2 linked regions of the Macaca mulatta genome follow. The protein of the gene in region 2 interacts with the protein of the main gene of each other region in a biochemical or structural test. Links are inferred from orthologs where the notes say so. Each region holds a gene or a part of one and is shown on either strand. Other genes may lie near its edges.

What was found.
Region 1: the proteins of MAP3K11 (region 2) and MAPK8IP1 form a complex in vitro, tested with the Homo sapiens proteins (2 studies listed by BioGRID). The link is inferred for Macaca mulatta from reciprocal best matches to the Homo sapiens genes MAP3K11 and MAPK8IP1.

What each region holds. Positions count from the first base shown.
Region 1 is NC_133419.1:19,718,808-19,722,611, reverse strand, and holds part of MAPK8IP1 (C-Jun-amino-terminal kinase-interacting protein 1), read left to right. Parts: intron 1-1,045; exon of another isoform or gene 1,046-1,445; coding exon of another isoform or gene 1,446-1,516; intron 1,517-2,644; coding exon 2,645-2,750; intron 2,751-3,804. UniProt on the Homo sapiens protein: The JNK-interacting protein (JIP) group of scaffold proteins selectively mediates JNK signaling by aggregating specific components of the MAPK cascade to form a functional JNK signaling module. Required for JNK activation in response to excitotoxic stress.
Region 2 is NC_133419.1:8,792,109-8,795,912, forward strand, and holds the end of MAP3K11 (mitogen-activated protein kinase kinase kinase 11), read left to right. Parts: intron 1-1,777; coding exon 1,778-2,152; intron 2,153-2,912; coding exon 2,913-3,250; 3' UTR 3,251-3,771; downstream 3,772-3,804. UniProt on the Homo sapiens protein: Activates the JUN N-terminal pathway. Required for serum-stimulated cell proliferation and for mitogen and cytokine activation of MAPK14 (p38), MAPK3 (ERK) and MAPK8 (JNK1) through phosphorylation and activation of MAP2K4/MKK4 and MAP2K7/MKK7.

The sequences.
Region 1 (3,804 bases), about 11 Mb from region 2:
ATCACCTGAGGTCAGGAGTTCAAGACCAGCCTGGCCAACATGGTGAAACCCCGTCTCTACTAAAAATATAAAAATTAGCTGAGCGTGGTGGTGCACACCTGTAATATCAGCTACTCAGGAGGCTGAGGCAGGAGAATCACTTGAACCCAGGTGGCAGAGGTTGTGGTGAGCCAAGATCATGCCATTGCTCTCCAGCCTGGGTGACAGAGTGAAACTCTGTCTCAAAAAAAAAAAAAAAAAGTGCAGAGGTCACTGACAGAGCAGGGGCATTTGAGGGCACCTCTGGGTCAGCAGTCCTGCAGCTCTCCCATGCCATCTGAGTCCCCCTTTGCACCACTGGCCTTCTCGGTGACCATCTGGGCAGCCAGTGTGAATTGAACACTTACTTGGTGTCGGCCACTGGGTTACTGTCCCTGAGCTAGAGATGCCACCCTGTCCTGGACGGATGCAGGAGGGCTGCTCTGGCTTCTGGGCCAGGCCCTCCTCCCCAGTTCCACCCCAGCTGGCCGGCCACACCCTCCCCATGGCCCGGGGAACCACCACCCTTGGGCTGCAAGTCAGAAGTGACCCTACAGGGCACCTTGTCCATCCAGCCCCCATCCCCCACCCCTCTGTGCAGTGCCCTCCAGGGGCCTCCAGGTTCTGTTTATGTCACTCCAAAGGGACAGGAAGCTCGTTACCACCCAGCAGCCCTTCCAGCTCTGCTCTAAGGGCCCAAACACTGGCCCGCCCTTAGCTGTGGCTCTGGCGCCTCCTGCATCCATAGGCCCTGCCTTCCTGGGTCCTGAAGGCTTTGAGCCCTGGCTGCAGGAGGAGGCAGCCCAGATCAAATCCAGTCTGGATGCATCCTGGGCCCACAGAAGCCTCCCAGATGAGGTCGGAGGGCTGAGCCTATGGCAGTGCGAACGGAGTGTTCATTCTTGAGGTGTTTGGGAAGTGCCCCCTCATCTCCCACCTGGCACCCTGACTGGGGCACTGGCCCTTTAAAGCCAATCAAGGGCTGGCTTTTGGGGGGAAACATCCTAGATTTCTGCCATCTACTTACAAGCCTGGGCCAGGGAGGGGGGCCACCTCAGTCCCCGACAGGGGCATTGGAAGGGCAGGTGGAGCCAGTGGCATTGATTGAAGTAACCTGATCCCGTGAGGGAGGCGGCCACAGTGACAGCAGCGCAACGGCCAGCTGGGAGGAAGCTGCCTGCAGCTGAGGGCTGCGTTGGGAAGAGCTGGGGCTGGGACCCGGGTCGGCAGCTGCAGCCTCCTCTCCTGGCCTATCTATTTTTAATGAGCTCCCCAGGCTTCTGCAGCGGGCAGGACGCAGAAAGACAGGCCCAGGCGGTGGAGGCCAGAGGCCCCCAGCCCTGCCCTGAGCCCTGGCCCCCGCACCCTTCTGGGCATGAGAGGGCAGCCCTGGGGCCCCGCAGCCCCCCTGCCGGGCAGGGCTCTCCATGCAGCTGGTGCTGAAGATGGATTCGAGCCCAGACAATGACAGCTGGTTGGAGGATCAATGGGAGCGCTGGTAGGGGCTACCGGGGCTGGCAGGGGTGGAGACCAAGCTGGGGTGAGCTCCATCGAGCTCAGGGTCTCTATTTGGTCTGATTGAGGCGAGCGGCAGGGAGTCTAGGCCTCCTAGGTTCCCCTGGGGGCTAAGCCACCATCTCTCCTGGGTGACCTTGGACTCGTGGGTTTCCCTTGCTCTGTGCCTCAATTTCTTGGACTTATCTGGGAAAAGCCTCATACATTCTTCCCAACTTCCCAAATGTTCTACCCTCCAGCAAGCCAGGCAGAGTGCCCAGGACTAGAGGTGAGCAAGAGACAGGCTGCCTTGCAGTGGCTAGCCCAGCTCTGCATTCTGAGGTGGGGACTCAGGGCTGGCCTAGGGAGAGGGGGGTTCTGGTGAAGCTGGTTAGTGTTGTAGTGCCCCGGTGCTCTGAGCTGTCTCCTGAGCTTATAACACCTCTGATTCCACCTGGGGCTTTTCCTGACCCCATGTGTGCAGCCTCCTGTTCAGGGTCCTTACGATGGAAAAGGAGAAGATTTTGTGGTTGAAGAGATGAGACCACCAAGTGCACAGCATGAGGCTATAGTCCTTTCTGGAATAGGCTGAAACTACCCACACCAGATTTTCCTTCGCTTGTTCCCTGGGCTCAAGGGGCATGAGTCTTCCTGAGCTGGGGCGTGGGGCCCTCCTTTGAGGCTGCTGCCAGCACCTCGGGTCTTGCTACTGCAGAGGTTGCACTGGGAGCTCTCCTACTCCAGGCTTGCTGCTCTTCTCAACTCCATGGATTCTCCATGGTGAACTGGCCTTGGCACCTGCCTTGACCCTGGGAGGAGGCTCTGACCAGTTAGGCCTTCTAAGCACTGCCTGCTGGTTGGCAACAGAATGACAACTCCCAGGGAGGAGCTGGAGTAACCCAGAGCCGCCTCTTCCGCTGCCACCCTAGGAGGATTGCCTTTTGGCCCGAGCCCCATGCTCTTTCCCTGCCTGCTGACTACCCCCTGCATTGACACAGATGGACCCCAAATCCTGTCCTCTGGGGGCTGTGTTCGGCCTTCAAGAGGCTGCCCCCTGAAAGAGGTAACAGGGAGATGTGAGCGGGCATAGCAGTGCCCCTGAGTTGTAACTTTGGCTTCCTGTCCCCACCAGGCTCACCCACGACATCAGCCTGGAGGAGTTTGAGGATGAGGACCTCTCGGAGATCACTGATGAGTGTGGCATCAGCTTGCAGTGCAGAGACACCCTGTCCTTACGGGTAAGGGTGAGCTCCCAGGAGCTCCTGAGTGGGGTGGCAGGAAGACTAGGGACGGGGTAAGGGCATCCCCATATCGATAAAGGGGTTTCAGGTCTGTGCTGGCACCCTCATGAAATGAAATGATGTGCAAGAAACATAGGTATACTGCTTGGCATGTCTTGGGTGTACAATCAGAATTTTATTTATTATTATTATTATTATTACCGCTGTCGGGGACTAAGGCAGGAAGTAGCTCCTTCAGCTGCCCACAAGATGAGAGAGGTAGGAAGTCTTGAGACCTAGGGCATTAACAATTAGGACCAGACTTAAGGGAGACTCAGGGCTACCCTAAATCCTTTTGGGAGCAGCCCTGGAAAGGGCCTGAGGCAGACAGGGTGGAGTCTGGTAGAATCTGCAGTGCTTTGAGGCAGGAAGAAACAGCCAAGGCACTCCTGGAATAACTCCTGTGGCTGCTGGCTGCTATACACCAGACAGATGGCACTGCATGGCCTCCCAGACCATCTCTGGCCCCTAGTCCTAAAGGCCCCCACTGAGGAGTTTGCCCAGCATTGCTGCTGGTTTGGGCCCTTGGCTTTGTCCTAGGGAAGATGACTGTCTCCTGTCCCTAAAGATCTGAATGCTGCCAGGAAGTCCCCAGCACCTGGGGAGCTGCGGTCAGATGGGGATCCCAACTATGTCTTTTCAGAACAGGAAGAAGGGGCTGGCTAGCCAGGAAATGGAGGACAGAGCACAGGGGTTGGTTTTAGAGCCCAGAGCTCCTCTGAGCCCCCAAGAGGGCAGGTAGCCAGATATGGTGTCAGGAGAGTGGTTACCATAGGAGCATGCATTATGCCTTGGGGAGGGGGTGCCTGTCTCTGTGTTGACCTCCTGCTACCCCCAGAGACTCAGTAAGCTCTGCCAGGCAAGAGGAAACCAAGGGGTGTGGATAACCCCCTAGTCCCCAGTACCCCAACCTTCCACTCTCCGGCCAGGCCAGGAAGAGGCAGAGGCCTCTAGATTTGGGGAATGGTCTCAGGGCCCTGACTTAGCTTCTCAAAGGTCAGGCACCTGTTCT
Region 2 (3,804 bases):
CCATCACGCCCAGCTAATTTTTTTGTATTTTTAGTAGAGATAGGGTTTCACCGTGTTAGCCAGGATGGGCTTGATCTCCTGACCTCGTGAAACGCCTGCCTAGGCCTCCCGAAGTGCTAGGATTACAGGCGCGAGCCAGGGATTTGCATTTTAAGAGCCAGGCATCAACATGTTAAACACTGCCTTGACCTCATCTGATGAAGGAGGCAGACTCACAGACAAGTCCAGTAGCACCTGTATGAGGCATAACATGAGCAATAACTATGCAGGTTCAGGGAGATTTTGGGAAGGCTTCACAGAGGAAGTGACATCCCAGTGGGTCTTGGATGGTACGTAAGAGGTCACTGAAAGCTGAGGTGGGAAAGGTCAGCCAGCCAGAGCAAACAGTGTGTGCACAGGCATGCAGCTCACCAGACCCAAGGAAAAGGCAACCTGGCTGAACTCTGAGAAGAGTTGAGAGCCAAGGAGTCTCAGGACTGGGGCTGCGGACAGGGGCCAAGGCACATGGGTCAGTAGATGTTGATTGAATGAATGAGTGAATGAAGCTGGAAGTGATGGGTAGTTTTTAAGCAGAGACCTGTCTTTAACCGGTTTGCATTTTAGAAGGATTCCCTTGTTCCTTCAGTGGTAGTGGTCGGGGTGGGAGTTGGGTGAGGTAAGAGGCAGAGAGTCTGAGTAAGGGTTGTGGCTGACAGAAGGGACTGTCAGCTGAGTCCTGGTTCATAGTAGAAGTTCACTTTTCCCAGCCTTATATTTCTTCCTCCCGACATCCAACCTGCTTTTGCACTCCAGGCAGGAGGGGAAAGGCAGAGGGAGGAGGCCAGACTTTCTTATAGAGCCATAGCAGATTCTAGAGCCAAAATCAGTGCTTGTGAGAGCCCATCCTAGAGGCCCTTCTCCTTAATGAGCGGTTTCCCCATCCCTGCCCAAGTGATCTAGAATGGAGTCAGGCCAACCCTAGACTGGAAAGTGGGACACTAGTGTCTTGAAATCTAGGGCAGAGTCTGGTTGGGAAATGGTGGAGAGCAAAGGCTCTACTGCCCTTGCCTGGGGTGAAGCCAGCTCCACCTTTCACTGGCTGTACAGCTCCGCGCAAGCCCTCAACCTCTAAGCCTGGAACCCCCGGGCATGAGGATCAGACAACATAATGCCCCTATGTTATTCAGCTCAGGCCTGGCACAAATACCTACTCTGTAAATTAGCTGTGACCTTGGGCAAGGTACTGACCCCTCTGAACCTCATTTTCCTCCTTTCTAGAATAGGGACAGGGATTTGTGCTCCTCAAGGCGGCCATGTACATTAGAGTTGACTGTGTGCATCTTACAAGCTACAGCTGGAGTGGGGGTGGGTGGGCAGAAGGGGCAGGGCTGCCAAGCCAGGAAGCGGGTGGGCACAGAGCACAGGGCGCCGGTCCCAGTCAGTGGGACCTGCCATGGCCCTGGACCTGGAGGTTGCCCCTGGCAGGCCATGGAGGCCCACCGTGACCTGGCCTCAGCCCTGCCTCCACTGGGACTGCCCATCCATCTTTGGGGTCTGGGTCACTGGCTGCCGTCAGGCTTTGCTGTCGCTTCCTCCGCCTGCATTGCCCTCCCCTCCCAGCACCCATCTTGTGAAAGGCCGGAGTGTGGGTGCATGGTAGGGAGGCCGTGGGACCTGTGGGACCAGGGAAGATGCTGGTAGAGGGCAGAACTCAGTTCCAAGACCGCAGAGAGGTCCTGGGCCCTCATCCTGAAGATGCATCAGCCATGCCGTCACCTGTGCCGCCTCCGCCCCGCAGGTCACCCCCTACGGCCTAGCCTGGAGCCCGAGGAACCCAAGAGGCCTCTCCCCGCAGAGCGCGGTAGCAGCTCTGGGACGCCCAAGCTGATCCAGCGTGCGCTACTGCGTGGCACCGCCCTGCTTGCCTCCCTGGGCCTCGGCCGCGACCTGCAGCCACCGGGAAGCCAAGGACGTGAGCGTGGGGATCCCCCCACAACACCCCCAACGCCAATGCCCGCGCCCTGCCCGACCGAGCCGCCCCCTTCCCCGCTCATTCGCTTCTCGCCCAAGACGCCCGACTCCCCGCCCACTCCTGCACCCCTGTTGCTGGACCTGGGTATTCCTGCAGGCCAGCGGTCAGCCAAGAGCCCCCGACGTGAGGAGGAGCCCCGCGGTGAGTGGCCTGAGGCCGGCCTGCTTCGCGGATGGGAGATGGGGGTCCCCAGGGAGGGAGGAGTGGCTGGGGACATGCAAGGAGGCAAGGCCAAGACCACAGTCATCTACTGGACCCTGAACCAGGCGCTTGGGATACTGAAGACCATGTAGGGAGCAGAGTTCTAAATTCAGCTATCACGTGGTCCAGGCAGGTGGGGGCGATGCCTGCTGTGAAATAACAGAAGTAATCAAGGCCAGGCAGTGGTGCACGCCTGTGATCCCAGCACTTTGGGAGGATCACGTGAGCTTTGAAAGGTTGAGGCTGCAGTGAGCCGTGATCATGACACTGCACTCCAGCCTGGGCGACAGAGCATATATGTAGTCATAATAGTAGCAAACTCCTGGTTCCTTAACTTGTGTCAAGTACTCTTTACAAGGCTTTCCCGAGATGGTCTCATTCAGTCATAACAACCACAGAACTAAGTGCTCTTAGATGCCCATTTTTAGATAAGGAAATTTAAGGCACAGAGATGAAGGGACCCAGAGCTCCCACAGCTGGTAAGTGGCAGGGCCGGGACATACAGGCCGGCCTGCTCCAGAGGCCTCACTCCTAACCATTACGAAAAAACAGAGGCACGCAGAGCAGGAAGGGCCGTAGAAGTTGAGTCAAGTAGCTCACTGTGCAGATGGGGAAACTGAGGCCCAGAGCAGGGCAGTGTATCTTGGGGACCTCAGGAGTTGTTGGTTGCCTGACCTTGTGCCCCTCCTATATCTCACAGGAGGCACTGTCTCACCCCCACCCGGGACATCACGCTCTGCTCCTGGCACCCCAGGCACCCCACGTTCACCACCCCTGGGCCTCATCAGCCGACCTCGGCCCTCACCCCTTCGCAGCCGCATTGATCCCTGGAGCTTTGTGTCGGCTGGGCCACGGCCTTCTCCCCTGCCTTCGCCACAGCCTGCACCCCGCCGGGCACCCTGGACCTTGTTCCCAGACTCAGACCCCTTCTGGGACTCCCCACCTGCCAACCCCTTCCGGGGAGGCCCCCAGGACTGCAGGGCACAGACCAAAGACATGGGTGCCCAGGCCCCTTGGGTGCCGGAGGCGGGACCTTGAGTGGGCCAGGCCACTCCCCCGAGCTCCAGCTGCCTTAGAGGAGTCACAGCATACACTGGAACAGGAGCTGGGCCAGCCTCTGCAGCTGCCTCAGTTTCCCCAGGGACCCCACCCCCGCTTTGGGGGTCAGGAACACTACACTGCACAGGAAGCCTTCACACTGGATGGGGGGCCTGCGCCCCCATACCTGAAACCTCCCAGCTCACCTGCCCTACTGGGGCCCGACACTGTACCCAGCTGGTTGGGAGGACCAGAGCCTGTCTCAGGGAATTGCCCGCAGGGGTGATGCAGGGAGGAGGGGAGGTGCAGGGAAGAGGGGCCGGCCTCAGCTGTCACCAGCACTTTTGACCAAGTCCTGCTACTGTGGCCCCTGCCCTAGGGCTTAGAGCATGGGCCTCCTGCCCTGGGGGTCATCTGGGGCCAGGGCTCTCTGGGTGCCTTCCTGCTGCCCCAGCCAGGGTTGGAGTATTAGCCTCGGGATCCAATGAAGCCAGAAGCCAAATAAACTCAAAAGCTGTCTCCCCACATGTAGCCTGTCACCTTTCTTGGACGTA